Ovis aries: one gene and its partner. The protein of the gene in region 2 interacts with the protein of the main gene of each other region in a pairwise test. Links are inferred from orthologs where the notes say so. Each region holds a gene or a part of one and is shown on either strand. Other genes may lie near its edges.

Region 1 (16,413 bases), on a different chromosome or scaffold from region 2:
CGGAGCTGGCATGTGGTCTTCAGGATGTCCACCACGCCCTCGTGCCGCAGCTGCTGGCAGCAGATGCTGGTGGCGATGAAGCAGCCAGTCCTCCCAATCCCTGCGCTGAGGGCCCAGGGCACGGGGGTGAGGGGTGGGGCCGCCGGGGAGCCCCGCCACGCCCCAGTGGGTGTCTGGGAGGACCCACCTGCAGTGCACCACGATGGGGGCGCAGCGGGGCCCCTCCTGCTGGGCCGCCTCCTCCACCTCCCGCACCAGGTGCAGGAGTGGGGGCGCGCGGTCTGGGGTCTTCTGGTCGGGCCAGGACGTGAACCAGTAATGCTTCAGGCCTCGCTCTTCTGTCCCGCTCTGTCCAGGAGACAGAGGCCCACCCCAGATACACGTGAACTGAGCCCAGCCACCAGCCCAGAGATAGAGATGGGAAGGGAGAAGGAAGCACAGGAGGGAGGCCACAGGGAGTGGGACCTCGGACCTCTGCCATCTACCCCGTACAGCCCAGAGGCAGCAGCCAGAGACCCGAGGCCAGCTGGGCAGTGGGGACTGGTGAGCAGCGTCAGCACTGGTCTTCACATGGGTTTTGCCCCAGTGACTCCAGGATCTTCCAAGAGAGGTGAAGAGCCCCTTCTCCATTTCACTCCTGTCTCCTGGTTGCCCCTTCACAGATAGCCCAGTCACCCCCACAAGAGCCCTGGGACCCTTCCTGTTGCCTCAATATACTTTCCTGCCCACCAGTACCCCTGGTCCCCCCCAGCCAGTGTTCCAGTGCTATCCTCTCCACCACCACCTTCACTTTGTTCTCTCGACTGTGTGGGGCCCTCCCCTCCTCCTCTCTGATCGCTCAGATCCACAGTGGTCCAGAAGGCCTGTCTACAGCCCATCCTGTTCTACCGCTCAGAACGCTCTGATAGCTCTTGTTGCTCTAAAACTCAAACACACCCTCCCTACTCTTCATTCGGGCAAACAAGACACATGGTACAGCGTCTACCTCTCCAAGCCCAAGTCCTCCTGTGAACCTGTACTTGATGCCTTTGCACTCCAGATGGTTTGTTGATCAAATCTCTGCTTCCCCCATTCCCTGTACATTTATACACAGAGCTGTTCTATCTTCTGTGCCCTTACTTTTAGTTTCCCTTTGTCTGGAATGCTCTCTCTACATGTCTGCCCCCCAGCCAACTCTTATCCTTCGGAACCCCATTCAGCACCACCACTTCCAGGAAGCCCTCCCTGAGCACCCTAGCTGACAACATGTCCTTCTTCTGTGCTTTTACTTATTTGTAGGTCAGTACTTACCATTTTATAGGTGCTCCTTGAGGAGAGAGTCCAGGCTTTGGACAGCTCTGTGTTTTCCCAGTACCCAACCCAGAACCAGGCTCAGGGCAGGTGCTTGTAAAGGTTACGGACAAAAGTAAATGCCCAGTGGTCCCTGACCAGTCCCACAGCACTTAGAAGATGTGGCAGCCCAGCCTCTCTTTCAGGGGAAAAAGGAAGCTGCTCCATGGGCTACCACAGCCTCTATCCTCCACCTCTGAAATGCCCTCGAGCAAACCTACATCCTGGAAATGCTTACTGGGCACTGCCCTCGAGGGGCTGACTTCTCCTTGACACGCCATTTTTCACCTTCTCCAGTGGGAGGGGGCAGCTCAGAGGAACAAGTCTCACGCCCTTGACACCCTATTCAGACCCTGTGGCTGCCAGCATCAGTGGACCTCCCTGTTTCTGGATAGGATGTCAGCTTCCTGGCACCTAGGTCACCTCTTCCAGACTTTGGGATAATTACAGTGGTACCACTTTCCCCAAAAAGGGTTCACAAAGATTTCTCAAAAGCAGAATGCACTGATTTTCCTGACTCCAAAGGAACAATCTCCCCTATTATGCTGAGCCTGGAAGAAGCACAATCTTCAGGGTGGGAGGATACTTCCCCACACTCTTCTGGGCTGTTCGGTACTGCTCATAATTTTTATGTCCTCTTCTCTTTTTCCTATAACCACAACCTCCTTGTGCTACCCAAATGCAGCAAAAAGCGCCTGTCCTCTAGTGGACAGATTCGGTACTACAGGTTGGAAGCCCAGCATCCCAGGTGAAGGGATGTTTCCAGGCAGAATATGGAAGCTGCTGAAGCCCCCTCTTCCAGACAGCCTTGGCCTTGGGTACATTTGAAGCCGAGCTTGAAGACATTATGAACGACAGTGTGGATGGACAGACGCCAGTGATAAGAAATGCACTGAGAATTTGGTTCTGCCTCTGATGTGCAAGATGACTCACCCCTTCTTCCCCTCATCCCTGCTCATCAGTAAAGCCTGGAGTGACACATGCCTTAATTTCAGCTATTTTGGCCTCTGGGACCCTGTTGGCTGTGGAGTGCCCCCTCCTCCCAGCCCAGCCTAGCCCAACCCCAGGCCTCACCCTGAGGGCAATGAGCCGAAGCCGGTAATCCTCAGTGTGGATGACTTTCCGCACGGTGATCTCCACGCCATCGTATACCACCTGCTCCTCCGGCCAATACTCGGTGCACTTCTGCAGGGGCCCAGATCAGACTGAGATACTCCCAGCACCCCGACCACGCCCTCCCCAGTGCCTGTCCCGGGCCAGTGGGGAGACAGACAATGGGGCAGTAGGTTTGCAGTTAGCTCAAATCTCAACTTCTCACTTGTTAAGTTACTTCCCTTTTCTGAGTCTCAGTTTCCTCATCTGGGAAAATGGAAGTAATACTCAGTTTGAAGGACCTTCATGGGACTTCAATTAAATGGGCTGTGATGAGTATGGAAGTAGCCAGCATCAGCCCTGGCAGGCTGGGCGGCAGCGGAGCAGCGTGTTTAAGATCCTGAGCACTGAAGGTGGAGAGGCCAGCTCCAGGCTCTGCCTCTGACTATTTGTGTGGCTCTGAGTAACTGACTTAACCTCTCTGAGCCTCACATTTCCTTCCCTGGGCAAGGCAGCAAGGTGAACATACCAACCTCCCAAGATTGCTGAAAGGATTAACACGGAAATAAGATGCTTGGCACGGGGCACCAAGCAGCAGACACCTGGTGAGGTCCAGAGGGGCCTACCTCGTTCATCTCCTCAATGTTGGTGATCATGACAATGATGGGCGTGTGCTCCTGCCACACCATACGCCAGAAGTCGCCAACCGTGCTGACGATGGGTCCCTGAGTGGCGATGTACACCTTCTCTTCCCCACCATAGCCCTGTGACCAGCCAAGTCCAGGCCATCAGGGTTACTTGTTGGGCTCCCGGGGCCCATTTCCCCCACTCAGCCTCTTCCCCGGGGGCTGGCAGGAACCAGACGGACTTAGGGACAAGCCTAGTGGATGGACCCCATTGACCCGGACCTCCCTTTTAGGGAGAGACTGTTGGGATGGGGTTACATACCCGAATGTAGTTGGCGTTGATGTAGGAACTCAGAGGGTCGTCAGGGTCTGGTGAGGTCAGACACACTCTGCTGTGAGGGTCTGAGGTAGTGGAGACAGGTGAGGCTGGGATTTGAACGTGTAATCCCTCTTGTGTGGGCCCACCTTCTCTGGCCCATGTCAGGGCACCTACATTTCTTCTGGGACCGGAAGTTCCTTCTTCCCTTGCCAGAAGCAAAACACTGACCCATCCCTGTGGCCCACTCAGGAAGGTGAGGACCCAGGCTGAAGAGAACGGTACAGGGAGGCCTTGGCTCTCTCCCTCTGTAGGATCCAGGCCACCCTTGCCTGCATCCCTTAAGCTGCCTGGTCCTCTCTGTGCTTCATGTTCTGGGGAGGAGACAGCTCAGACAGTAAGAAATTCCCTAGGGGATACATCCTAGCCAGCAGGACCAGCAAGAGTTTGAGTATACATTGTCCCCAACCTGCTGTGTAAGCTTGTAAAGCACATGGCCTTTTTAAGCCTGTTTTCTGATCTGTAATATGGGGGTAAAGATGCCTAGTTCCTTGGATTGTTGGGAAGACAATTGAGAAAACAGATGGGAAGGGCTATGTCAATTGTAAAGCATGTTATAGCTAAGATTTGGGTAGGATGCCAGGGGAGAGTATCACAATGAAAGGAGTAAAGTCTTCTGAGCCTGAGATGAGACGACACACACGTCCATAAGGGTTCACCCCCACCCCAATCTAGTCACCTGTCAAATCCCAGAGCACCAGATTCTCACTGCGTCATGCTCTGCCTCCTAGAGCCTCCCTGTATTGATTTAGTCTGTCCTGGAAACTCGCAGAGGCTGGGACTGAGCCAGGAGGTTGGGGGGGGGGGCTGGGGGCCTGGGTTCTGGGCTCTGTCCAGCTTTGTCGCCAGCTTGCATCTCCTCCCTTCTTTGGCCCCCAGGGTCTTTCCCGTGGAAGGAGGGTTGGACTAAAGGCCCTGCCCGTGTGCCCCGTACAGGGCTCTCAAAGACTGCATCAGCAGTCAGGAGTCAACACCGCCCACCAGCGAGCCTGGGTTCAAGTCCTGTTGGTGCCAGTGCAGGCCATTCACTGAGTACCCCTGTGCCTCCTCCATAAACTGGGAACATTCCTTCCGTCACAACCTCACTCATCCTGTCAGGGTTCAAGAGTGGCCGTTCATAATGAGTCCTCAGACCCATAACTTAGGCCAGCACCCAGTCACTATAGAGCAAGTTGGTGTTGCTACTGATATCACTGCAAGTATAAATTAAATCAGTTTCTAAATTAACAGGTCAAAAAGAGGATCCCAAACCTGGAATATGAAATGGAAAGGGATACCCACAAAACTCCCCTCGCCAGCCCTTTCATGCCCTGGTCCAAGTGCCTGAGGTTTGGGCAGGTGATTTGTGGAGGGGAAGGTGGGGGTGAGGCAGCTCTTGTGGCGAGGGGTGTGGAGGAGAGTCAGGTATGGGGAAGGGCGAGGGTGAACGGAAGGGGGCTCTGTGTGACCAGGGGAGAGGAACAGGCAGCCCTGCATGGGCCCCCTCCCTCCCCTCATGGTACCCGGATTGGGATCCAGAAGTAGCCTCTGAATGAATGAGAAAGCAAGCCTCGGGGTGTCCTTGATCCTAGAGGGGCCTCTACCACCCACCCCAGTCCAGTCTCTGAGGGCACAGGGTCAATTCTTGCTGGCTACAGTGAAGATTCTCTGTTGGGCTTGGGGGCTGCAGGCATAGGGCATGGCTGGAGGCTGGATTACTCTCAGGAATCCAGTGGGGACCAGATGGAGCGATGGCCTGGCTCTCATACTCCCCCAGTGGCTATTTTGAGTGGCCAGCAAAGCCCGAGACTGTGGGGTACCCGAAGCCCTCCCTTCAGGTAGGGCTTGGTGGGTGGAGGGGGGAGCAAGAGGAGGGAAGAGGTGAGCAGCCCTGAATCTTGGCCTTAAATGGTGCTTTGTCTAACTGGAATTACCTAGACTCTGTGTAACCATAGCAACCACAAGTCGATATTCTAAAAGTTAAAAATAAGTCATGACATCTTACATGTTGTTGGAGATGCTGATGGCAAAACTGCTTTTTTAAAGCCTCCTTACTCCATAAACTGAGTGAAGTAGGTTTGTGGGGATTTGGTTTCAATAAGTCACCCCCCAAGCTAGTCCTAGGGCCTTGGGCCAGAACTTGGCAGGGGTGACAGGCAGACAGGGGCCTGATGAAAGTTACCTGAAAATGACATCCTGGGCTAAAAGAGGAATATCAGGTTACCTGGTCTAACCACCCCCAAAGGGGGAAAATCCCTATGAAACCTTCCAGGGGGACTACTCATGCATTCTAGCTTGAATACCCTAGCCAATGGGGAGTTTCCTACCTGACAGGCAGCTCGCTCCCTTTTGAGGTGGCTCTGCCTGTTAGAGGATTCATAATCTAGCCAAAGTGAACTCCAGGTAGACAAAAGAGCTCAATTTTGAGGTTACAGAGGCCTAGTTTCAAACTTGGTTCTGTACATCTTAGCTGTGTGACAATGGATGAGCCACTTAACCTCTCTGAGCCTTAATGTCCTCTCTTTAAAACCTGTCCACTCTGAAGAGACCAGGGATGTGACCACAATTTTCAGCCACCATGCCCTGTCTAGGAGCTGCTGTTATTGTTCCCCTTTTTCTCTGGGTTTCCACAGAGCCCAGCACAATGCTTGTCCAGGGCAAAGATCTGGAGAGTGCCGTATGAAGGAACCAAGAGCCCTCTGCCCTCTAAAGGGGGTGTTTCCCTTCACCGGGCACCCCCACCTTCCATCCCTTTGCCTGGCGACCCTGGAGGCCCATGCTGGAGTTAAGGGCATGGGCCTCAGGGTTTAAGGGCACCCAGGTGAGGGGCAGCTGAGTACTCACTGGGAAGGATGGTTTTATATCGGTTCTTCCGCACCAGCCCAGGGATGTCATATTCTTTTGGATCCACAAAATTCATGGGGATTTCCTGTAGGAGGAAGGCACAGGGTTGAGAGCAGCTGTGGGCTGGCTTGATGCATGCATTCATTCAACAAGCATCGACTGTTAAATGAGTGAGGGCACACGAAAAGCGTCCAGAGCAGTCCTGGCACATGCTGAGCGCATAATGAACGTTAGCACACCACTGTTTATGGAGGGCCAGCCTGGCACAGAGTCAGCACTCAGTGAACGCTGGATGAACAGGGAAGAAGTGACCTGGCTAGTCACCACCTTCATCTACACCCTGCGCTGCAGCCACGGCGAGTGGCTTTGCTGACTCACGTTCCTACCCCAGGTAGGTGCCCCGCTCAGGGCCTTGGGTCGTGCTGCTTGCCTGGTAGTAACATCCATTCCATCCTCATCTTCTCATGCCCTGCTGTGCACCGGAAATGACACCTCCTCCAAGAAGCCTTCCCTGATTCTCCAGCAGGGAGGCAACCTCATTCTGGGCCTTCCCAGAGTTGTATTTGCACCTCTCAATCACTCTGCATGTCAAGAGCGCCAAGTCTGAACTTTTCTGCCTGGAATGTGAGGTCTTCTTGGAGCTGGCCTTTCTTTACCACCAGCTGCTCTCAAAACCCCCACCCTCCAGTTGTGCCCATCTCTTCTCTGTAGTTAATCTCTCAGTCTCCGGCTAGCCTCCACGTCTGAGTTTGCGGCACTTCACTTGCGGGGAGCACTGGTCGCATCCCTCTTCATCACCCTAATCCTTCTCAGCCTTTAAGGTTCTCTGCTGCCCCTCCCACCAGGTCTTGTGGGATGACTCCTCAGTGACTGTCCTCTTGCGCCCCTTCCCTCTGTCTACACACTTTAGCACCCTTGCCATCTCTCACCGTCATGAATCACAGTGTTCACTGTGGACACACTAAGAATGCACTTTGTACAAAGAGGATCATGAGACTCACTTTCTAGGTGGTTGTGAGAATCAGAAGAATAAAAAGCAGGCGCAGAAGTGCCCATGGGGTGGGTATGTGAGCATCCCCACTTCCTCTCTCTCTGGGCAAAACTGACAATGAACTATGAAACCGGAGATGACAAGGACATGCCACACACCCTTAAGCGGAGGTGTGGCCACGGGGACACATCCAGGCTGGGTAGCCCAGGAAGGCATCTTAAGGGCCTCCAGGGTGAGGGCTGATGACTGTGAAGGTGCGGGGAGGGGGTGGGCTGAGGGCCAAGTTTGAAGTGGGCAGTCCTGCGGGGATGGGGCCCTGAGTCTGGACAAGGTGGCTGGGGCTGGCTCAACTCAGGTAAGGCAGGCTGGACCACATACTGGAGACTTTGGAGCCGCAGGTCAGAGGTGATGGAGGGCTGCTCAGAGAGGAGAGCCATCCAGTTCTGCTAGGGAGCAGGTGGCCTGGGACAAGGGGAGCTGCGAGGGAGGCACGCAGGTTCCCCATCCCTCAGGCTTCTCCCAGGAGGGACTCTCTCCAAATGCTCCTGGCTCTTGCCCATTCCTGCCCACACGGTGGGTGAGTTACCGGATGGTGTCTGATTGAGAAACTCAGCTTTGGGGCGCTAGCCCCTTACTTCCTCCTCCTCCTCCTCCGACCCTCCTGCTAAGAAAGAATTACAGGGCACCCCCATGGGGTGAGGCTGGCAATGTACCAGCACCGCCTGGGGTGGCAGGAAAGTTGCTTCATTCTGGCGGTTGGTATTAGGAGGCTCACTACTGCTACATACGTAATCCTCATGTTAACCCTAGCATTGGGACTTCGTTGCTGGTCCAGTGATAAAGAATCTGCCTTCCAATGCAGGGAACATGGGTTTGATCGCAGCTCAGGGAATTAACATCCTACATGCCTCCGGGCAACTAAGCCTGCGTGGCACAACTAGAGAAAGAAGCCTGTGGTCTGCAGCAAAGACTCAGAGCAGTCAAAATGGAAAAACAAAAAACAAACAAGAACAGAAGCTTACCTAGCCTTTATCAGCAAAAATAAAGGTGGTTTTGGGATCTTCTCTATCTTAGCTTTTAACTGGTTGAGTGCTCGGGCAGGTAAAACAGGGGGGTCATTTATAAGCCCCTCAAAGTCCAACAGGAGGGGGCTGCTGTTAGAGCCTGGAGGGGGAGGTAATCAGGACCACCCTAAGCTGGAGCCACAGAACTGGAGAGATTTCAAAGGAGGATGAACATTGTTTGGTGATGCCAGGTAAAAGGAGAGTGGGAAAATGGGAGAGTCAGAAGAGAAGGCTTTCGGGATTTGTCTGGCGGGCCAGTGGTTGGGATTCAGCACTTTCACTGCTGGGCCCCAGGTATAATCCCTGGTGCCACATAGTGTCACACCCCACATCTCCAAATAGAGAAGAGAAAGCTGTCTAAGACTTCCGGAGGACAATCCTAGGTGATGATGACTTAAGAATGCCACAAACACCAATCACCTGATGGGCACTTTGCACATTTTCTGCATCTTTCAAATCCTTGCAACACCCCTGTTATCTTTATCCCCATTTTCCAGATGAGAAACTGAGGCCCAGAGAGGAAGCAGCTAGCCCAAGACAGTAGGAGAGGTGAGAATGAAATGATGTTCATCAGATGCTGAGTTTGGGGTACCCTGTTCCAAAGCCTTGCTTGGGGGACCAACATGAGCATAAAGGGCTGCCCTCTGTGGGGGCACTGGTTCAGGGGGACTCACAAAGAATTCTGCCTGCAGCAGGAAGGGGTCCAGGGCCTTCTCGTGAAGCTCTTCGGCCTGGAGCACGCGGGAGGCGCTGAGCAGGTACTCTCGGGCTGACTCCTCACGGGGGGACATGAGATAGCCGAAGCCTTCCTCGTTGCAGCCTGGTGTGCACATGTCCAGGGTCAGGGAGACATTGGAGCCCCTCCTGGAAGGACCGGGAAGGGGGGCAGTGAGTATCAGGGGCAGGAAGGGCCATTAGCTGGGGGCCTTGGAGCAGGAGGATGAGGGAGCGGCAGATGGGGTGGGAACCTGATGGGTCCCAGGGAGAGGAGTGGGCATGACGTAACCCCAACACAGACAGAATGAGGCTCAGCTCTAAGGCTTAAGCCTGCCACCCGCTCCTGCCCCATGCAGCAGAGTAGCTAACTGCGTGTGGGCTTGGGCCCCAGTCCCAAAGATTCCATGTGAGGCCCCTCAGTACAGTCCTTCCCTGCACTCTCCTGTGCCCCTGCCAGAGACAGCTCCCAGAGCCAGGGGAAGCTCACCGAGAGGGCACATGCCTGGGGCAGAGAAGCAGGGCTCCACCCTCAGTACCCCAGCCCCCAGGGCCGCAGCCTCCAAGGACATCTCATCCAGGAAAGGCTCGGGAAAGACGGGATCCCAGGGGTAGCACAGCTGAGCAAGGATGAGTGGACTGAGCAGACTCTGCTGTGTTCAGAGTCTAGTGACCCATTACCCTCATTACCTAGAAAGGGAAACTGAAAGCCACAGAGGGGATAAGAATTGCCCAAGCACGTACAGTAAGGGGGTAGTAGAGCTGAAACAAAAACCTAGGTTTTCTGACTCCTCCTCCAGTGCTCTTTCCATGACATCATGTGGACAACACAACCCTGGTGGGATCTAGCTAACCCAGCCAGGCTCTGCAGAGGGTGTTGACACCTCCCAACATGTGCTGTGTGGAACCCTACGAGACACTATGAAAGCAGGGTTCTGTGGTCGGATAACTTTGAGGAAGGCTACACACAACCCCTTGTCAATCTACAATGACTACAAGCATGTTAAAGGCTCCCAACAAGTCCTACAGTAAAGAAACCTATCCGAGCCATAAGAGTTGTATGTGTGAGTGTGCACGTGTGCACACCTGTGCATGCCTACATGTCTGTGTGCAGTAACGTTTCTTCGTGTTCACTTTGGGGCATTCAGATCTACATGAATCAGACCTGAAGAGCACATGTCTGCATTGGTGGGGCTATGAGCTCAGCTCTGCCCTGGGCACTGAGTCAGAATCAGGCGTCTGCCCTTCCGACAGGGAGCTAAGAGCTCCATGCACCTCTGCTGCACCCACCTCTCCTGCAGACCCATGGCTTTGACGGTCAGGGAGGTGGGGTCAGCCTCCAGCTTGATGTCCATCACGCAGTCAAACACAGGGGTCTCAGGGACGGGGTCCAGATCCAGGAAGTCATCCTCGACTTTCTCCTCCATCCACTCCGAGTAGGTGAAGGAAGGCTGACGGCTTACCGATTGGCGCCTGTCCTCGGGGGGCAGCGGGCTGGATGGCTCTGGGGGAGTCCTCAGGAGGAGCCACACCTAGTTGGGGACATAACTGGCATCATGGACCATGCTGGCAGCAGTCCCCGGATGATGGCATGCCCAGGGTCTTGAGCTCCCTGCCCCTCCACGTGTCTGGAGCAGGCTTGTTCTCCTGGGAACTGTCTGCAGAGTACCACCACTCACCTAGATGGGAGGCTACCTAGATGTCCTCCCGGCCCCCTCCTTCCCCAACCCTCAGGTTGTTATGCTTTGAAGCTTTGTTAGTGGGGTGGGGTGTTCCTACTCCGGTTTTCACACTGTCTCAGCTCCTTTCCCCAGCCAAGAACACTGCAAACCAATTTTGAGAAAGAAGGGGCCTCTCTCCACCCCAGCCTGGGCACATTGGTGGAAGAAGACAGGTGCCCCTCCTCAGCTCTACCCACAACATCTAGTCCGTAGGTCAAAGGAGACAAGGTGGGGACTGGGTCTTGGAGTCACGGGAGGGGAGCAGCGAGGTCGGGTCAGGAGGAGCCTTACCAGGGTGGTGACGAGGATCACACAGAGAGAGACCAGCAGCAGACTGGAGATGTCCCAGGTCCCAGTGCCCAGCCAGGCCTGGGGAACATCAGACAAACAGCTCAGGGTGATGCGGGTGGGGGGTGGGGGCGCGTTCTCATCTATTTCAGCACGGGTAAGATTGAGGCTCTGAGAACTTTGTACCTGGTTCTGGGGAGGGGACAGGAAGAAGCCTTTCAGGGTTATCATATGAACTCAAAGAAGCCCCAGGCAGGGGCTGGTGGGGCTGGAGGCCCCCAAGCGCTCCCTCCTACCCTGGGGCTCCCTGGAGCTTACTCACCGCGGGTCCCAGCCGCTCCAGGAACGTGAGCGCAGAGGAGACGACGTCTGTGGTGTTCTGTGTCCAGATGGGGCCAAAGCCGCTGAGCCAGAGCATCCCACAGGCGAGCTGGGGTGGCCGGGGCCAGTGCACTGAGTTCGGAGTCTGGCCTCCTTGCCCCCATATCTCCCCGTTCCCCTACCCTCAAGAGTTTACCTGGAGCCTCAACCTACCGCCTACCCCGCCCGCACCCCCACCAAGGTCCGACTGTGCCACAAAGGCCAAGGGCATAGGACTTTGCCTGGAGAAAATGTGACTTAAGGGAGCCTTCGCAGAGGGGGTCCCACCACCCCACCAGGTATACACATCACAGGGAGTCTCCTAGAGGTGCCTGCAGAGACAGGAAGTCCTCAGAAAGACGCCCGCAGGACCATGGGGGGCTGGGGGCTGGGCCTGCATCCCTGCTTCTGAGCTCAGCGCATGAGGGGCTCAGCCCTCAAGGCTGTGGCTTGGAACTCCAGCCTTCTCTCACGCCAGCCGGATGGCCGCAGGCACGAGGGACGCCGGGAAGGCCCCTCACTCCTCTGTGTCCCCAGGCGGCCATCTTGGGGAGGAAGCGGAGGCCGTCCTTCAGCCCGCCCTCCTTCCAGGCCCGGCGAGGCCTGTGATGTCCTTACCAGGAACTGGGAGGCAGCCAACAGGCACAGGCTGCTTCTGGCGGTGAGGGAGTGGCTCCCGGCGCCTCGAGGTGGCGGCTTCTGAGCTGGCTCCGAGGGCGGTGAAGCAGGTGGGGGCGGTGGCATCTCTCTCTGTGAGGCCGCGGGCGCCTCGGCCTGGTCCAGCGCCTCCATCCCTACCGGCTGGCGGACACCTGCGGAAGGTGACAACGTGGCCGGTGACCCAGGCCCTGCCGACCCCGCGGGCTGCTCCTGCTGGGGTTGCCGTGGCTTCCTCTCAATCCAAGATCAGTCAGCCTGGCTCCACTTCCAGCAGTCACCCTCGACTAGCAAAGCAATATTCACCTACCTTCGTCAGAAAGAGCTAAGTGTGGGTGGACAAATTATTTCTCTTTTATTTCTCCAGTAACAGAGTTAAAATGGCAGGAGGTTTTTCACGGAGTTAACATTGTGGTGTTTACGCAGCTTCATTCTGTTCCCATTTCTTAAGGAAACAAAAAACAACCACCTCAAACTCAATTAAAAGAGAGAGAGACGGAAAAAAAGGCACAGCGTAACCAGGCCGTGACCCTGAACAGCTCACCCACGCCTGCCCTCCCGGTTTTTGTCTCTCATTCTCTGTATCCTGACTTGACAAGGTCAGAGCCACATGCCCCTGCCCCACCTTGAGACACCACACTAGGGGAGTGGGGGTGGTCAGGTGGCAGTGGAGCAAAACCTTGGGGTAGCAGAGCTGATGTCAAATGTCTGGGATCCAGTTCTGGGTCTGTCCCTGGTTGTGTGACCTTGGCAGAGTCACCCCCTCCTCTCTGGACCTGTTTCCACACCTCAAAAGCGGGGGCTAAGCTCCTCCCTTGGCTTTCTGTGTTTCAGGGAGCTCTGGCATTTTTCTTGGTGACCCAGCTATGACCAGGTGCTCTGAGTCCCCATACCCAAGCCTCAGCCATGGAAGCTGTTTGGTCGCACTCCGTATAGTGGGTATCCTCTAAGATCATCTCAGCACAAGGTGCCACCACTAAACAAGTCTGAACGGCACCGGGCTAGAGCTGAGGCCCCAGTGGAGTGGGGGATTCCAGCAGCACCACCTTACTGAACTCCCCATCCAAACTGACGCCGTCTAGTCTATTGCCAAGAAGAGAGGGACCATGGGACTTCCCTGGCAGTGGTCCAGTGGTTAAGACTGTTTCCAATGCAGGGGGTGTGGGTTCAATCCCTGGTCAGGGAACTAAGATCCCACGTGCCATGTGGTGGTGTGGCAGAAAAAAAAAGAGAGAGAGAGAGAGAGAGGGACCAGCAAAACAGATGTGTATAGCTTGACAGTGAGGGGTTGGGACAGTTCACATATTATGTACGTGGGACAATAGACTCCTTTTCTGGATGGGGGACTTGGAATCGTCATAGCCAAGACACGATGTCTGCATGCTCGATTGCTTACATGACAAATACTTACTGAGCCTCTCCCACTGCCTGGATCAACAGTGTGGAGCAGAGCGCTGGGTCCTGGAGATGCCTGAACTTCTGTGCCAGTTATTTCCCTCTCTTCCCAGGGAAAGAGCCCACCCGCTGTGTTCTGAGTATCCTGTCCTCTCTGCCAGGATCATCCCTCCAACATCCTGCTCCCCTCACCTGCCTCCAAAACACTTTGCCAAGTTAACTCCTACTCATCCTGTAGAACTCCATCATTTGTCTCCTAAAGCAGGTCCTCCCCATCATACACACCTGGCAACCCACGTCTCTCCTTCAGACGGCCAGCAAAATAATATACTTGGAACATAGCCCTGCTCTGAGGGCTTTGTGCGTGTTAATATATTCACTCTTCATGGTACCCTATGAAGTTGGCACTCCTGTGATCCTCATTTTACAGAAGAGGAGGATGAGGTGCAGAGAGGCTAATAAGTGGTGGGTTTGAACTAGGCCACCTGGACAGGGATTTGATTTAGGTCATACCTGAATGGTCTAGTGGGTTTCCATACTTTCTTCAATTTAAGTCAGAATTTGGCAATAAGGAGTTCATGATCTGAGCCACAGTCAGCTCCTGGTCTTGTTTTTGCTGACTGTATAATGTTTCTCCATCTTTGGCTGCAAAGAATATAATCAATCTGATTACGGTACTGACCATCTGGTGATGTCCATGTGTAGAATTTTGTGTTGTTGGAAGAGGATGTTTGCTATAACCAGTGCATTCTCTTGGCAAAACTCTGTTGGCCTTTGCCCTGTTTTATTTTGTACTTCAAGGGCAAATATGTCTGTTACTCCAGGTAGCTCTTAAATTCCTACTTTTGCATTCTAGTCCCCTATGATGAAAATGGCATCCTTTTTGGGTGTTAGTTCTAGAAGGTCTTGTAGGTCTTCACAGAAATGTTCAAACTTTGGCTTCTTTGGTGTTACTGGTTGGGGTATAGACTAGGATTACTGTGATATTGAATAGTTTGCCTTGGAAATGAACAGAGATTATCCTGTCATATTTTTAAATCCTGTCATTTTTGAGACTGCACCCAAGTACTGCATTTCAGACTCTTTTGTTGACTATGAGGGCTACTCCATTTCTTCTAAGGGACTCTTGGCCACAGTAGTAGATATAATGGTCATCTGAATTAAATTCGCCCGTTCCAGTCCATTTTAGTTCACTGATTCCTAAAATGTTAATGTTCACTCTTGCCATCTCCTGTTTGACCACTTCTAATTTACCTTGATTCATGGACCAAACATTCCAGGTTCCTATGCAATACTGTTTTTTATAGCATTACATTTTACTTCCATCACCAGTCATATCCACAACTGGGTGATGTTTTTGCTCTGGTTCTGTCTCTTCATTCTTTCTGGAGTTATTTCTCTACTCTTCTCCAGTAGCATATTGGAGAAGAGCATACCAACCTGGGGAGTTCATCTTCATATATTTTTGCCTTTCCATACTGTTCATGAGGTTCTCAAGGCAAGAATCCTGAAGTGGTTCACCATGCCCTTCTCCAGTGCAATAATACATAATGGTTTTTATGTGTTCAAATTTATAATGTTAGTATAGTACCTAGCATAGAACTAAAACAAATAATAGGTTTCTAATATCTATTGATTGATTGTAGTTAAGAAGAATTAGCTACAGTACGTGAACTGTGAACTTCCAGATGTTCAATCTGGATTTAGAAAAGGCAAGGAACCAGAGATTAAATTGTCAACATCTGTTGGACGGTCAAAAAAGCAAGAGAATTCCAGAAAAACATCTACTTCTGCTTTATTGATTACACCAAAGTCTTTGACTGTGTAGATCACAACAAACTGTGGAAAATTCTCCAAGAGATGGGAATACCAGACGACCTTACCTGTCAACTGAGAAATCTGTATGCAGGTCAAGAAGCAACAGTTAGAACCAGGGAACAACAGACTGGTTCCAAATTGGGAAAGGAGTAATGTCAAAGCTGTATATTGTCACCCTGCTTATTTAACTTATATGCAGAGTACATCATGTGAAATGCCAGGCTGGATGAAGCACAAGCTGGAATCAAGATTGCAGGAAGAAATAAAAATAACCTCATATATGCAGATGATACCATCCTTATGAAAGAAATCAAAGCAATAAAGAGCCTCTTGATGAAAGTGAAAGAGGAGAGTGAAAAAGCTGGCTTAAAACTCAACAGTCAAAAAACTAAGATCATGGCAACTAGTCCCATCACTTCATGGCAAATAGATGGGGAAAACAATGGAAACAGTGAGATAATTTATTTTGGGGGGCTCCAAAATCACTGCAGATGGTGACAGCAGCCATGAAATTAAAAGATGCTTGCTCTTTGGAAGAAAAACTATGACCAATCTAGACAGCATATTAAAAAACAAAGATGCCCGTCTAGTCAAGGCTATGGTTTTCCAGTGGTCATGTATGGATGTGAGAGCTGGACCATAAAAAAAGCTGAGTGCTGAAGAATTGATGCTTTTGAACTATGGTGTTGGAGAAGACTCTTGAGAGTCTCTTGGACTGCAAGGAGATCCAACCAGTCCATCCTAAAGAAAATCAGCCCTGAATATTCATTGGAAGGACTGATGCTGAAGCTGAGACTCCAATACTTTGACCATCTGATGCAAAGAATTGACTCACTGGAAAAGACCCTGATATTGGGAAAGATTGAAGGTGGAAGGAGAAGGGGACGACAGAGGATGAGATGGTTGGATGGCATCACCAACTCGGTGGACATGAATTTGAGAAAGCTCCGGGAGTTGGTGATAGACAGGGAGGCCTGGCATGCTGCAGTCCATGGGGTTGCAAAGAGTTGGACATGACTGAGTGACTGAACTGAACTTGGACAGGCCCTTGAACTACATTACACTCCCTACAGTGTGTCCAAATTATTTGTTGACTATATCATCTTTGCCAGTTCTCTGTAAGTTCCATGATGGGAAGAGCAGTTATGGTCATCATGAC
Region 2 (16,413 bases):
TTTTCCACAGTTTATTGTGATCCACACAGCCAAAGGCTTTGGCATAGTCAATAAAGCAGAAATAGATGTTTTTCTGGAACTCTCTTGCTTTTTTGATGATCCAGTGGATGTTGGCAATTTGATCTCTGGTTCCTCTGCCTTTTCTAAATCCACCTTGAACATCTGGACTGTTGAAAACTGGCTTGGAGAATTTTGCTACTTTGCCAGCCTGTGAGATGAGTGCAATTGTGCAGTAGTTGGAGCATTCTTTGGTATTGCCTTTCTTTGGGATTGGAATGAAAACTGACCTTTTCCAATCCTGTGGCCACTGCTGAGTTTTCCAAATTTGCTGGCATATTGAGTGCAGCACTTTAACAGATCATCTTTTAGGATCTGAAATAGCTCAACTGGAATTCTGTCACCTCCACTAGCTTTGTTTATAGTGATGCTTCCTAATAAGACCCACTTGACTTTGCATTCCTGGATGTCTGGCTCTAGCTGAGTGATCACACCATCATGGTTATCTGGGTCATTAAGATCTTTTTTGTATAATTCTTCTGTGTATTCTTGCCACCTCTTCTTAATATTTTTTGCTTCTGTTAGGTCCATACCATTTCTGTCCTTTATCGAGCCCATCTTTGCATGAAATGTTCCCTTGGTTATCTCTAATTTTCTTGACGCAATCTCTGGTCTTTCCCATTCCACTGTTTTCCTCTATTTCTTTGCACTGATCACTGAGGAAGGCTTTCTTATCTCTCCTTGCTATTCTTTGGAACTCTGCATTCAATTGGGTATATCTTTCCTTTTCTCTTTTGCCTTGAGCTTCTCTTCTTTCCTCAGCTATTTATAAGGCCTCAGACAACCATTTTGCCTTTTTGTATTTTTTCTTGAGGATGCTCTTGATAACTGCCTCCTGTACAATGTAACGAACCTCTGTGCATAGTTCTTCAGGCACTCTATCAGATCTAATCGCTTGAATCTATCTGTCACTTTTGTATAGTCAAGAGATTTGACTTCAGTCATATCTGAATGGTCTAGTGATTTTCCCTACTTTGTTCAAGTCTAAATTTGGCAATAAGATTGAGTTGATGTTCTGAGGCACAGTCAGCTCCTGGTCTTGTTTTTGCTGACTGTATAGAGCTTCTCCATTAGGCTGCAAAGAATATAATCAATCTGATTTTGGTATTGACCATCTGGTGCTGTCCATGTGTAGTCTTCTCTTGTGTTGCTGGAAGAGGGTGTTTGCTATGACAAGTGCATTCTCTTGGCAAAACTGCTAGCCTTTGCCCTGCTTCATTTTGTACTCCCAGGCCAAATTTGCGTTACTCCAGGTATCTCTCTTGACTTCCAACTTTTGCATTCCAGTCCCTTATAATGAAAAGGACATCTTTTTTGGGTGCTAGTTCTAGAAGGTCTTGTAGGTCTTTGTAGAACTGTTCAACTTCAGCTTCTTCAGCATTAATGGTTGGGGTACAGACTTGGATTACTATATTGAATGGTTTGCCTTGGAAGTGAACAGAGATCATTCTGTCATTCTAGACTGCACCCAAGTACTGCATTTTGGACTCTTGTTGACTACGATGGCTACTCCATTTCTTCTAAGGGATTTTCGCCCACAGTAGTAAAATTCACCAATTCTAGTCCATTTTATTTCATTGATTCCCCAGGTCCCATCTCCTGTTTGACCACTTCCAATTTACCTTGATTTATGGACCCAACATTCCAGGTTCCTGTGCAATATTGTTCTTTACAGCATCAAACTTTCTGTCACCAGCCACATCCACAACTGGGCATTGTTTTGCTGTGGCTCTGTCTCTTCATTCTTTCTGGTGTTATTTCTCTACTCTTTTCCAGTAGCATATTGGGCACCTACTGACCTGGGAAGTTCATCTTTCAGTGTCCTATCTTTTTGCCTTTTCATACTGTTCATGGGGTTCTCAAGGCCAGAATACTTCAGTGGTTTGCCATTGCCTTCTCCAGTGGACCATGTTCTGTCAGACCTCTTCCCCATGACCCATCCATCTTGGCCCTACAGGGCATGGCTCATAGTTTCACTGAGTTAGATAAGGCTGTGGTACATGTGATCAGTTTGATTAGTTTCCTGTGATTGTATTAAGAGAAGGTATTTTATTCTTCAGAAGACTATACTGTTCTGCAGCTGCCCTTCTGAATCATTTCCACTTCTATCAGATCTTTCCCAGATTGTGTGTTTGCTGGTTTACACATACACTGGGGGTGAGAAAAGAAAGCATACCGCACACAGTGATTACCTTGGAGAGACTGAGAATCTCTGATGAGTCCTTCTCTTCACAGGTACCACAGCTCCCAGGATTTTCCTGGATCAAACCTTGTATCTCTTCCCCAAGTATTGTATATATTGGACTAAGAGACGTGGACCCTCCTGAACAGTAAGTTAATATGTTAGGGTTGAGTTTTGGTCCTGTCCTGGCCACTAATGTTCCATTTGATAGGTTATTTCTGGACTTAACCTGTTGTAGGTCACTATAAAGACAAACCCCACTCCCACATCTGATTGAAAAACTCCTCTTTAGCTAAGGCTTTTTTCCTTTATATCTCACCAGTTTTATTTTAAAGAATTATGATATCCAGTATTTTTCCATGAGAGACATAGATCGACTTGGTATCCAGAAGGTCATGGAACAGACATTCGATCTGCTGATTGGCAAGTAAGTAACTACAATGGATGTCTACTTCTAGGTCCCAAAGAGAACAGGGCAGTAAACTTTGGCCTGTCTCTTAAGATAATGACCTTATAAAAGCAAAACGTACATATAAAAAAATTCAGATCAGAAAGGGAGACTGAAACTTCAGTCATATTCTTCTGGGGCTGGGAGGGAAAACTGCTCGGTGAATTTCTCTTTAGCTCCAATTTTAATGCTTATCTTTCGAGAGGAGAAGCATTCATCATTCCAACTTTTCTCTTCTTCCCAGGCTCAACTATTGCATCATCTGAAAATTTTATATTAAGCAAATCTTGGTGGTATAGAAAGATGACAGGTGAATGCTAATCAAATGCTAGTTAAGAACATTTTCCCAGTGCTGAGTCTTCATTTCTGGGTGATTAATTGCCACCTCGGTAATATACTGTTTCTTAAAGTGTTAAGAAGTATAAATAATTTACTACATAGGTGTTTACTATGTTACCTTCAACCATTTGGATGCCTGGGCTAAACTGAAGTTGGAATTGGGAGATGGTAAGATCGCAGTCATAAATTCAGAGCTGCGGTTCTACTGAGAGAGTAACTAACTGTAACCTAGACCAATCCAACTTCAACTAGAATTTGTCAGAACCCATGTCCTATGGAAGTGAGGAATTCCCTCTATTGACAGTTCTTAATGTAAGAGGCTCTAAAGCCCAGGGTAAATCAGAAATACAAACTGGAGTTAGTCTGAGGCACACAGAACTGAGGGCAAGACTATGAAGTGGTGTGTAAGCACCTAACACAATAACTTTCAGAACAAATCTGGAAATCTGCTGTGTTAATAAAGTACTAGCATGAACAGCAGCAAAACCAAGGAGTTGTAGCTGTAGGAAGGACAAATAACCAAGTACAGCCCAAATGACTTTCTCTTGTTTTCCTCCTTTCAAGAAGACAAAGGCCAATCCATCTGAGTTTCGATATTGATGCATTTGATCCTACACTGGCTCCAGCCACAGGAACCCCTGTTGTAGGGGGACTGACCTATCGAGAAGGCATGTATATTACTGAGGAAATACACAGTACAGGTAAGCAGTGATCAACCTGTTAATTACCTAAATAGATCTGCTGAAGCCTCTTGCCTGCCAGGGGATCTTTTCTAGTATTACATGTCACTGGAGACATTGTTTCTCTTTAAACTTCTATAGCTAAAAGCCATGTGGCCAGGCTAATTTAGAGGCATGTTTGGACCTGGCTGATAACAAAATACATTAGGGTAACACTGAGTAAAAAAAAAAATATTACCCACTTAAACACTTAATAAACACAAGAATAAACTGCCAAACTGATGTAGTTCTTTGCATCTGAATTGTATAAAGGCAGATGAAGACTAAAAGGCAAGCCGAAATAGCTCTAATTTTAACCCTGACACTATGAGACTGGTTCACTGGGAGTTAAGAACATCAAGCTGAAGCTTCCCTTGAAGATATTTCAAAGCTGGACAATACCTTGTGCCCTTTCATAGAAGTCTTATACTAGAGCTTGTTTGCTAGGACCTGTAATATGGGGATACTGGAAGATGAATGGCTGACAGGAAGAGGAGTAAACTGCAAGCTAGGGGATCAAGAGTAGCTACAAGAGGGGAATTCCCTGGTGGACCAATGGTTAGGACTTACTTGGTGCTTTCACTGCAGTGGCTGGGTTCGATTCCTGATTGGGGAACTAAGATCCCACAAGCTTCGTGGTGCAAAAAATTAGTAAAAATTTTTAGAAAAGAGTAGCTACAAGAGGTTACTGTCCCCAAACTCATACTCATTTGCAAACACTTTCCATTTCTGTCAGAAAACTCTTGGTTTTAAGGCTACTTTAAATGACCTCTCATTATAAAATTTAAACAATTACTGAATGGTACTTCATCAACTAGATAAAGCAGTTTGCTTAAATTAATCTACAAGGTGGCAGTAGTCTAGAAATATGGGTAGTATATGTTTTTAACAGTTTGTACCCTCCTGATTTACTTCTGGGCTATGCAAAAGGTCCACATTTAGTAGGTGGAAACGATACAGATGCGTGTGCAGGGACTGGTGGACACACCTGCTCACTGTAGTTCTGCACGGTGCACTGAACTCCACATTGCTCCTAAGGGACGGCACACTGTGCGGATGTGCTAGCATTGAATGTACATGTACTAAAATATAATATCCATAAGTCAATAGGTATATCCATCCATGTATCCAGGCTTTATGGCCACCCTAAATACTCAGATACTTGTATACTCCAATCTAGTTTCTTCTAGTGACTCTTAAAGGAGGTAGATTAACTTCATCCAGAATAACCAACTAAAGATAAACACCCCAGAAGTAGGGCATATATATGTTGATGGGGAGGGGCAGAGGGCAGGCCTAGATAGGTTCTTTTATGCTCTAATCTTCCCGCCTCAAACCCTTTGGCACAAGTACCCAGACCCTTACAGAAGGTAACTGGAGTTCAAACTAAATATGACCAAGTGCAAGATACTGCATCAGTCTGAAGGGAGACCTAAGAACTGTGTCATACATGGAGTCTGTCCTCAGAGTTCAAACTTGCAGGGGTGAGAGTAAGATATGCAGTAACAGCTATACTTTAGGACACATGGTGCCTTAAAAGTTACACAGCGCCAGAGTTCAGAAGTGGGAATAGAGTGCTGGCTAGTGAGACGTGAGAGATTTCATCACACAGCTACAGGCAGGCATCTGGCAGGTCCCTAGAAATACTGGAAATGATACATTTTCCCAACTAGACTGGAAACTCCTACTGCCACCCCTGCTTACCCCTCACCCCGGCCTTGCTCATCCTAACCAGAAAGCCTGTCAAGTCATGCCTGTTATGTTATTAAACAGGGATAATTGACTTAATTACTTTAAAGGTTTCTTTCAATCCTACTCCGGCATTACCAGTGTTTCTAACTTAAATTCATGCCCAAGAGGATGAGGTGTAAGGGCCTTCCTGACAGTGGGTAATTTTCTAGTAGAAAATGACCCTTTCACCTTGGTGTGTTCTACCCAGGTGGGACGACCCTCACTGAAAGAAGCAGCTAGGAAGTTTTCTTTTTGTCCTGCTTTGTGTTTTCAGGGTTGCTCTCGGCCCTGGATCTCGTTGAAGTCAATCCTCGGTTGGCTGTGTCAGAAGAGGAGGCCAAGGCTACAGCCAGCCTGGCAGTGGATGTCATTGCTTCGAGTTTCGGGCAGACGAGGGAGGGAGGGCATGTTGTCTACGACCAACTTCCTACTCCCAGCTCACCAGATGAATCAGAGAGTGAAGAACGTGTAAGAATTTAGGGAATACTGTTTGTTGACACATGTCACAGTGGGCATTCCAGAGCCGTGAGGCGTTTGCGGTGACAGAAACTGAATGATCATCTGGGTCAATACTGCCTTAATGAGAACATTTGTGCATTCTTACAATTGTAAAGTTTCCTTCCCTTTCATTTTGGTGACCGATAATAGTACTGTACATGTATTTGTTTTTTGACGCTCACAGGGTATTAATATGTTGGAGCACTGTGTAAACTTAAAGAAGTCATAAAGGACATTTATTACCTTGGTATATCATACTGGTCTTATTACTGTTCCTTCACATTTCAGTGGTCTTCCGTCTTCCTCCCTCCACCCACAGTCTGGCTACACAGTGCCTTCTTGAACCGCTAGTTCACAGCAGCAATAAGATTTTTTTCCACACCTCTAACGCCATTCATTCACTGAGTGACAGTTCTGGTCCACAAACCCTTCCCTACAGGAGGTTTAATGCCTGCGAAAGAATTTGTAATAAACCAGGCCTCCCAGAATGGCTAGCTCCAGTAAGATGACGATGGAAAGTAGCAGCTTGTTGGTTGTCACTCTACAAAGAGAAGCAAAGTGGGATGTAGTCAGAACTCTGGGTAACCTTATTTCTTTCCATTCTTAATACTGAGGAGTTTGACCTAGGGCCAAGGCAGGATACTGTGAGGCAGACTGAATTTTTGTTTGATCATGTAGCCACTTAGTAACCTGTAAATAATTACTACTATCTACCTCACAAAAATATTGAAAAATGGGGCAATAAGGTACCAAAACATACAAATGTTTTTTTTCTAAAATGTCTTCAAATAGTAATTAGTACTTCACTTTAAAAGTACTTTTTCTATGATGGGCTAATTAGAAAAATATTAAATGTACATGTGAAAAAGTATACCATATTTTAAATCAGCTGAATCAGATTTCAAAGTAGAAGTTCACTACCTAACACATCTACAGCTGTGAGGACACATTAGGAGAAGGGGTGGCGGGAGACTCCAGGGTCCAAGTCCAGCTTGGGTACAAGGAGGTGGTCCTGCTTTAGGATGAGTAACTAGAAGCTGGGAATGCCTTTCAATGTCTTCTCAAACTTCTTGCCTTTCTTTCTCTATAAAGGTAGAAATTTTTCTGACACTCCTATATTCTTTAACACAAAGAATCGAAATCGGACATTTCTTCCTGCTCCACAAGGAACTTACCACTGTTTTGGAAAATCTCATTCTCTTGCTAGTTCCATAACTTGGTTATAGTCTCATTCATACTACCTACACCGACTCACGCCCCAAATTCAGCCTCAGTGCCAATACTTCCCTTCTGCCCATGGCTCTGCTGCTGTCAGCACTTACCTAGACGGTTTTTTCTCAAGTCAGCTCCTTGCTAACAAGACAGAACTCCCAAATAAGGGCTGACTCCCATAAAGGGCAAGCAGAGCCAAAATCAAGTACGAAGCCATAGCAGTGAAAAGTTTTCTAATTAAGTTTTTACAAATTTATTTCCAGGAATGCTCTGTTCCCATGTGCTCTCTTCTTTAAGGAATGTAAACTAGGATAAAAAGTCCTTCCAGTAGACCAGTTTTCCATGGCTCCAAATCATACCAGCATATATACTTCCAAAAATGGATTTTTTTCCTGGGATACTTAACTATGTGATACTCTTTATTTCTTCTGTTTTATCAGTACCTTTGCAAGTCACAGTTTAAAGCTTTGACATTCTCAGCCGAAAGATTAGAATTAAGAGAAATTAATTCTGTGACTAATTTTTAAAACTTACTTTCTGGACATTGAGCGGAGAATCTTCCGACTTTTGCTCAAGTTTTCACTTGTATTTACCAGCTGAGAAGAGAAAATAGCAATTATTTCCCTCTTCTTACAGAAGTACACACTGTAGAACTGAACCTGAGTAAATTGACGGGTGTTAAAGGGTTTATGTTGAAAAACTCCCAGAAATCAAATCAATTTAAATGATGGCCTCTGTAAATAGAAGAAACTGGAAAGGACAAGATACTCTAATACTTATCAATAAGGCCTAGGAATGATTGTATCCCAAGGCTGCTGTGAGGAGACCTCTGGGACTGAGCTAATCCTTCACTGTGGCTACACAAAACAAAGTCTTCAAGTGTACCTTGCCAGTAACCGAAGTAACTCTGAGCAACTTAAGATGTGAATTTCATCAGCCAAACTCCAGGAGAGCCTCCTGAGTTAATGTTTGTTTTTATAGGCTGGTGGATTACCACTTTTGAGATCTGGTTCTTTTTCCTTTTTTCTTTACCCTTTTAAGAGATACTTACATTGAATTATGAAAGGAATTAATCTTTTTTTTAAAAGCCTTTTTTTCCCCCTTTTTGTTGCCTGTTACTAACCTATATAGCTGGAGGATATTTCAACAGATGCCACCTGCCATCTGTTCCTGTTCACCAGTGGCCTTGGTTAAGTTGATCTCTCAGCTCATTCCTCAGCTTTTAAATTCAACTAATCCATCTAGTAAGTTCAAAAGTAAAAACAAATAAACCATGCAATCTGCAAACAAGCTGCTTTCTCTGCAGCTTACTTGAATTCAGTACTTTACTGTGAATTTTCACTGAGGAGGGTGATACCTGACTTGATTTTAAGAGTGGAGAATTATGGCCACTAACGTGGGAAAATAACAGCTCAGTGTGGGGATTTGAGACGACCTTCTCATGTCTAAGTCTTGCCCACAGTATCTGTGTTTCGTTTATCTGCCTCATGCTCTTAACACAGCATTCCATTGGCAGTTTTTAAAATTCCTTTGCAGATGGTACAGAAAGGAAGAAATAAGTTGTTTTTCAGAGCCTCTTAGAGTGATAGTAGATAGAGGCCACAATATAGTCATCATTTGGCCTAAGGATTTTGTTTTCTCACAGTGATCTCCCCTAGTGTGTAGCAGTAGTGGTGTTAGTTGCTCAGTCATATCTGACTCTGTGACCCCATGGACTGTAGCCCGCCACGTCCTCTGTCCATGGGACTTCCTAGGCAAGAATACTGGAGTGGGTTGCTGTTTCCTACTCCAGGGGATCTTCCCGACCCAGGGATCGAACCTCTGTCTCCTGTGTCTCCTACACTGCAGGCGCATTCTTTACCACTGAGCCATCAGGGAAGCCCATGATCTCCCTTACCTTAGGTTAAGAAGAGTCCAGGATTAAACCTCTTTAAATTGTCGGTAGTACTATTTTATGACATGTGGAAAATAGCTTTGGCTCTAAATGACAGGAAAGCTAGAATCTTTTAAAGCAAATGTTGGCTTTCATAAGAATAGCAGGTGTTCTACTAGACGTGTGAGAGACAGAAATTTAGTTCATAATACAGGACCTAATAAAAGGATGGTATGGCTACAATGCTATTTGACAATCTTCAATAAATGCAGAAACTGGGTTTTATGCAATCTCACTCCCCCTGCCCAATGACCTCTAAATCTTACAAGTAAAATTACTTCCAAGGGATATGTTTTAGTCAAGCAAATTACGAACAGAGAAAGCATAAGAACCTAAAAAATCATACCCTGAATTTGGAACTGTGGTAGCTTCTGACAGCATCAGGGTGTAATGGGCCCACCTACTTTCCCCATTTTTGCCCCTCTCCCTATCCACCCAGACTTACTCTATTCTTGGTACGTTCCAATTGGTCACGTTGCTCCCCCAGCTCTTCTATGATTTCTGAGCCAATCTGGTCAGTCTCTGCGGCAATACGATGAGAACGCTCAATACTCTGGGTGGCCCGGTTCAGGCTGTCAGTGCCTTGCAGAAGCAATGCCCTTTGAGACTGTAGCCGATTCTGACAGGAGTATGGAAGGGAATTGTTAGACTTCTTCCATTATAAATGAATTTATAAGAAGGGATATAATGTGTAGTAATTTTCATTACTTGTAAGACAATCAAAGATGCTAATGAATCAGACTACAAGAGAACCTGGGGTTCAATCTAGGATCACAATACCTCCCAGTCCACTGCTTGTTACATGTAAGTGAGGCAAGGAAAGGATTCAATACACCAGAGCATCTTCCTTGTGCTCCTGATGAATCTGAACTGACTCATGTGCTTCCTGGACTAACAACTTCTGAGAGGCAATGGCCCAGATCTGGGATGCAGGAGCTACCTGAAAATGCATACATCCTATCATTTTGATAGGGTAAACCAACTAAACTCTACCGCCTTAGAGATAGTGTAATTCACTGAAAGTTCCCACTGATTGGTACTGAGTGACCACAGAATAAGCTATTCGTGTTTAGCACACACAGAAATCACTTAAAAGTGTGAAAGACTACTCCTCTCTGGAAAAAAGTAGCTACACTCTTGGTAAGCATCCAAAGAATTTCGCCTCAGGCCAAACACAGAAGACAAATACTGAAGTTGTTACACTGGTGATTTACTCTCAGGGGAGGTAGTATCTGGGGCCAAGTAAGCGCCCTATTTCTGAAACTCCACCAAAGTATTATTCCACCTATTCCTAAGCACAGGAGGCATGAGGACCGAAGCAGCCTTTGTCAGGCCAGAAATAACTACTGACAGAAATGGAGGCAGCTCTAAGTCCTCAGCTCTTCAGAGCACACGTGCGTACAAACTCTGGAAAAGGGGTCAGCTCACAAGGCCTGTTACTGAGCAGGTGACCATTAGCACTCGATACCACCAGTAAGAAGCTGAAAAGATGTGTTTCCAGATCAGAAGCAACAAGAAGGCTTTTTCACTTCATATACAGCATACAGACGAGTGAGTGAGGAAACCACTGAATAAGGCTGAAATGAACCCCAGTTTACACTGGCTTAAAAGCAGCAGGAAAACAGCATTTTTAAACATAAAAGATGAGGATTTTCAACTGAGTGGGCTTAAGAAAGAGCAGGGAGAGACAGTAAGGTCACATGAATCAACCCCAGATTTGGAACAGTAATTCTACTGAAAGTACTTTATATACCTATATTGTTTTTATAATTTCTGAAACTAATAATTTTAAAGCAAAATTATTGCTTGGAATTATCTTCCCCCCTTTTGTTTTTGGGGCTTTTTGGGTCACAGATGACCAAAGTCACTGTACACCTTTCATCTCACTTTTAACAAGCGCTACTTGCCTGCATTTTCCCACTCTCCTTTGAAAATTTTACATCATTCTCAAGTACTCTAGTTTTCACATCAGGAATGTCAGGCCACTATCATTTGAATATCTCTTAAGCCATATTTAGGAGGGTGCTTCATGAAACAGGATTTGTTTAATCAGCCTTTCTACATCCATACAGTCTGCACTAGTGGGCCCCCTTCCACTTCTCTCCCACATTACCAGCCAGGCCATTTCTACTTCGTGCTGTGGAATATAGTCCCAAATGTAACACATGAAATTTAACCTTTGTGAAGCTTTTCTCCTTTACCTACCTAGCTTCTTTAGACAGTTTGAGAATATACATTTTCAATTTAGTAGTCTAATTTTATAAATGAGAACACTGGAGGCTAGAGAGGCAGCCTGGCTCACTTTCTATTATGATGAAGTAAGGCGTCAGCCCCCTTTTTGGGAAGCATCCTGCTTTCTCTACTGTATCTGGGCTATTGGGCCATCTTGATACAAATAACAATGCTCTGATAAGTTAAAATCTTAACTGAACTCTGGGGGGATATGTGAGAAAGAAACTGGATTGGTGAATCAGACTAGAGTCCAGGTATAATATGAATAGGTAACACTTGTTTATCACCACTACCCATCAAGCACTGTTTTATACATAAAGGATACAAAAAAATCTAAACAGGTAAATTGCTTGGAATGATCTGCATTAAATTCAGTAGAAGCAGGCACCCAAGGGGAGAAGGGAAATTGGATGCAAGAAAGAAGAGGGAAAAAACCAGGCGTACTTGTGGAGTATTTGAACTGTACTCCACAATTTGGTTAATCATTGTGCCACAGACCCACAGGACAAAGATGGCTAAAACTCACCATATGCTCGTTCTCCACAGCGTATGTGCCATATTTCATGTCTCCTCGGGCCCCAGGAGTGGCTGTCAAAGGCGTACTTCTCACTTCCCGATGGAGTTTGGCAAGGTCCTTCCGGTAGGTTCGCAGCTTAGACATCATAGGGTTACGAAAAGATAGGGGTGCATAACGCAGTTCCTCTTCCATCTCTGCCAGCTAGGAAGGCAGAAAGCAGTGAGTAGACGGCCTGCTTCTATTCTCTCTCATATGGGTAATATGTCTAGTTTGGACTAATCAAACCACAAGCAATCCTAAATAAATACTCAACATGTGGCCCAGGAAGGGAAGGACCACACGTGACACCTTTACTTCATTACTGAGTGCTTGGTGCAGTGCCCAGCAGGCACAGAACAGGTCTTCAAAAGGTATGTGATGAATGAGTGAGAAAACTAACAAGTAGCTTATAGCTACTTATAGCTTATTAAACATTTTGACATGTATTCTCTCACAACAGATCAAAACGGTAGGAAATACTTTTACTTCATATATGAGACTTGAAGAAACCTGTTCAAGATTACATAAATCAGGATTCCAGATCTTCATACTCTTTTCAGTATACCAAGTTCTTAGCCTGTTATGGTCCAAGTGCTATCACGAAGCACTTAGGGACCTACTGTACTAAAAATGATTAGGGGTATGGCATCAAGGTTCTTCCCTTCCTCCACCTGAAAATCAACTGTCTGTGTCCATGTGAGAATAACCAGGGGTCCAGATCATTTCCATTTTTCTGGGACAAGTAAATTGTAACACATAGAATCATTTGTAAGAGCCCATGAGTCATTTTCTTCTGCTTTGGATGGCTAGAGTAGGACTGGTTAACTTTAGAAAATGCTACCAAGATGTTAACTGAAAAAGAGGCCTAGCTCTGTAACAGATATCACAGATATATGCCCAGTAATGCAGAGGTATTAGAAAAGTTTCTGGTACTCCCATTATGAAGGTGATAGTTTCCATAGTCTGGTAGGCTGATCCTCCTTCAAATACATGCAGAGCGGAAAAAAAAGGATGCAGATGGGCTTAACTTCTCAAAACTTCATTGGAATAAAGGAGGTATTCTTCAACAAACAATAAAGTTCTCTGGCTTAAAAAGAATTCTTCAGTCTACTCTGGGGTAGCAGATACTAGAGGCAACTATTTCTTTGGAGTGCTACCAGAGATCGAGATTTTAGCTCCAGCTTCCTAAAAGGGTTTGCTAAAGCTAGACACAATGCGATGAAGACAGAGGATCCTTACTTCTAAAAGGTAAGAGCAAAAATTGCTTTCTTTCTTTTTTTCTTAAAGAAAAGTCACAGGTTAAATGAAGCAGTTCTTAAACTGCTTAGCAACCTGGACCAACTTCTGATAAGCTTAGGATCCTGACTGAGAACTCATCCTGACCATGCATACCTTGCCCAAGGTACCAAAACCTATTTTTCAAAACAAGGCAATGTGAGTAGGAACCACCTCTGAGCTCCATTTTCTGTGACAGTAAATTTAACAAAGGAGAGTAAGTTATCTTAATGGCCAGCTTTTAAAAAGTGCTTTCAAAAGGCCACCTAGGTAAAAGGAGAATGTCCTTATTGTATCAGCAATGTTTTATCAAGGACTCACAGAGGAATCTTCAAGTTTTACTCAAATACCCATCCCCATCAACTGGCCTCATTTAGTAAGAAATAATCAAAACTAAGGTCAATAGACAGGAACAGTTAAATCTGTGATCATAATGTCATAAGCATTACTTCTGGCAAAGACCAACAGACAGGAAGAGGAAATAGGACTTGTTCCTGTTCTCACCGTTTCATTTGCTTCCTGTTGCTTTTCATCGAAATCTCTGATCAACTTCTTCTTCTCTTCTGGAAAAGACAGATGAGTTTTAAATACTCAATCCTGCTTCCAAACATTTATTTGTAGAGAACATACCCTCTGCTTAGAATATATTCCCCATTTCCTTTCTGGGGGTACCCTACAGAACTTAATCACCCCTGAAAGACATTTAGAAAAGTAAGAGAACTAGTTACCAGAATTAATGGGGGGGGGGGGTAGATGGATGGTATTATCACTGGCATTTAAGTGGCCAGGGAACAAGAATACCTAAACTAGGGACAGTCCTGTGTAACAATGATCTGGCCCCAAAGACCAACAGCATTCCTACTAAGAAAGAAAACAGGTCTAATTATCGTCAATCTTTTTTCACCAACCTAACAAAGGGACCAGGCACGCTTTGATCAATAAGAATGTTTAACAATACCAGTTCTCTGAAGTCTTCATCCCCATGGTAAATCACATCTCTACATTAACACTTATCCACTGCTTTTCTGCAAAATATATTCAAAGCCCACCTACTTTGCTCTCTGGAGAGCCTGCAAGGCACACAGCACAAGTTTCTTAGCCATACCCACCGGCAGTAGTATAGGAAATGATCTAAAATACCACTGACTCACACAGGGGAAAATGTCATTCCTTGTTCAATCCTTTGCATCCTGTCATTTTAGTTCTAGTATGTCTTTAATACCTAAAAACTACTAATCTCCTCTTTAAAAAAACAGAACAGGCTTTAGCCTCAAAGCAAGGACATCTAACTAAACCAGCACTGTTTTGTCTTCATTGTAGCTTTTCTGATCATATAGCTAGGTTCTATAGATTTTTCATCTAAGGCAGTGATATAAAGTGTCCTTTTAAAGTAACTTTATATGTTAAATAAATGCATTTTACATGAAATACTGATATAAAGGAAATAATTACAGTAAAAATGGTGCTTAGACACACCACAATGATGAAGTGAGTACCTGGTAAACTTTGTATGGGGGGAAGTGCTGGGGAGTAAATGAGCTTAGGTTTTGGTCTTAGCTTTGGGCCTAACTCAACATGTAAGCCGGATAATTCTCTTCATCTTTTTGGGACCTAACCTCCCTCCTCGGCTAGGAAATGAGGAGGCAAATCACACCTAAGAAGGAAAACTTAGCCCTATTTATGAGGAGTTTGTTTTTTTTCAAATGTATACAGCAAAATGAATGTTCTCCCCGGAAATCTACACATACTCTACTTATTACCACAAACTGTCACTGTTTATAATATTTTTTGAACTCATCTTTTGGGATTACATTCACAATCTGGGATACTTTTTTTTAAATTGTGGTAAAATAATATAAAACTTACCATTTTGACCATTTTAAGTGTACAGTTAAGTGGCATGAAGTACATACACAATATTGGGCAACCATCACTGCTATCCATCTATAGAACCTTTGCATCATCCCAAACTCTACACCCAGTAAACACTAACTCCCTATATGCCCTCCCTTCAGACTCTGGTAACCATGATTCTACTTTCTGTGTCTATGAATCTGACTACTCCAAGCACCCCCATATAAGAGGAATCATACAGTATTTGTCTTTTGTGTTTGACTTATCTTGCTTAGCATAAAACCTCCAAAGTTCCTCCATACTGTAGCATGTATGAGGACAATCTATGTGTTTTTCACTCAGTGTGATTTCTAAATACAAGCCAGCACTGCCATCAACTGAAGAAAGAGCAATCTTTACCAATGCCAAGAAAACAGTAGAGTATAAGACCTATGAAGGGATGGCATGTGGGTACTCAACATGCTATCCTAAGATTTTCTTGGATAATTTTGTTTACCCTGATTTTCATCTCACACCTTGACTTTCAAACCCAATCCCATGTTGGAAGTAACACCACTGTCATGCTTTATATAGATTTTACATTGTGTTAATCACATAGCATCTACCATGTCAGCTGTCCACTACTTTTTAACGTAAATCACTTGGCTGTATATATTCTATATTCTCAACTTGAGCTCAGTCTCCCTCTGAGTAGAGGAATTTACTTTTTCTTTTGTACATCCCATAGGTTCTAGAACTCTAAACCTGGTAGGGTGCTTCTTAGACACTGTTATTGCCTGCAAGAGTCAAGCGACAATCCACCCTTTACTAAGCGGCATTCATTGTCATGCGCATTCCCTTAATAGGTATTCCAGGTGAACTATTTTTCACCACACACTGCTCACAACGCACCACCCACCCCCTCAAAAGGAGAAAGTTCAGACAAAGCAAAAGGCCTACCTCTTGACCAGCCATGAGGTAACCACCATGAAATTACCACCACAAGTGAAAGTGTTAGTTGTTCTTTGCAACCCCATAGACTGTAGCCCATCAGGCTTTCCTGTTCATGGAATTCTCCAGGCAAGAACACTGGAGTGGGTAGCCATTCCCTTCTCCAGGCATCTTCCCTGACCCAGGGATTGAACCTGGGTCTCTCACACTGCAGGCAGATTCTCCCTGTCTGAGCCAGCAGAAGTGCCAAAGCAGCCTTATTATCCTTGAGTGGGCTATGTTTCCACCCATCAGCAGTGAAATAATATCTGCAATCAAGAATGGCTACTTCCATGGAGAGCTATCATATTTTACAATCAGCATTCACGAAAGTGTTGAGTGCCACCACTCCTCTGAAGAGACACATCTCCAAACGCAAGCACACTCACTCACTCCTGATCCAAGATG

What was found.
Region 1: the proteins of VTI1B (region 2) and PTPN5 interact in binary tests that used the Homo sapiens proteins (3 or more experiments, as listed by UniProt). The two-hybrid records come from large-scale screens. The link is inferred for Ovis aries from reciprocal best matches to the Homo sapiens genes VTI1B and PTPN5.

What each region holds. Positions count from the first base shown.
Region 1 is NC_056074.1:23,560,969-23,577,381, reverse strand, and holds part of PTPN5 (tyrosine-protein phosphatase non-receptor type 5), read right to left. Parts: intron 12,197-16,413; coding exon 12,003-12,196; intron 11,455-12,002; coding exon 11,347-11,454; intron 11,106-11,346; coding exon 11,028-11,105; intron 10,548-11,027; coding exon 10,306-10,547; intron 9,166-10,305; coding exon 8,976-9,165; intron 6,332-8,975; coding exon 6,247-6,331; intron 3,450-6,246; coding exon 3,370-3,449; intron 3,186-3,369; coding exon 3,048-3,185; intron 2,515-3,047; coding exon 2,404-2,514; intron 349-2,403; coding exon 188-348; intron 106-187; coding exon 1-105. UniProt on the Homo sapiens protein: May regulate the activity of several effector molecules involved in synaptic plasticity and neuronal cell survival, including MAPKs, Src family kinases and NMDA receptors.
Region 2 is NC_056060.1:77,595,783-77,612,195, forward strand, and holds the end of VTI1B (vesicle transport through interaction with t-SNAREs homolog 1B), read right to left. Parts: intron 13,746-16,413; coding exon 13,687-13,745; intron 12,070-13,686; coding exon 11,878-12,069; intron 9,739-11,877; coding exon 9,565-9,738; intron 7,783-9,564; coding exon 7,721-7,782; intron 6,516-7,720; coding exon 6,419-6,515; 3' UTR 6,184-6,418; downstream 1-6,183. Other genes in the region: ARG2 (arginase-2, mitochondrial), read left to right, coding at 2,293-2,387, 2,562-2,666, 3,591-3,727, 5,751-5,956. UniProt on the Homo sapiens protein: V-SNARE that mediates vesicle transport pathways through interactions with t-SNAREs on the target membrane. These interactions are proposed to mediate aspects of the specificity of vesicle trafficking and to promote fusion of the lipid bilayers.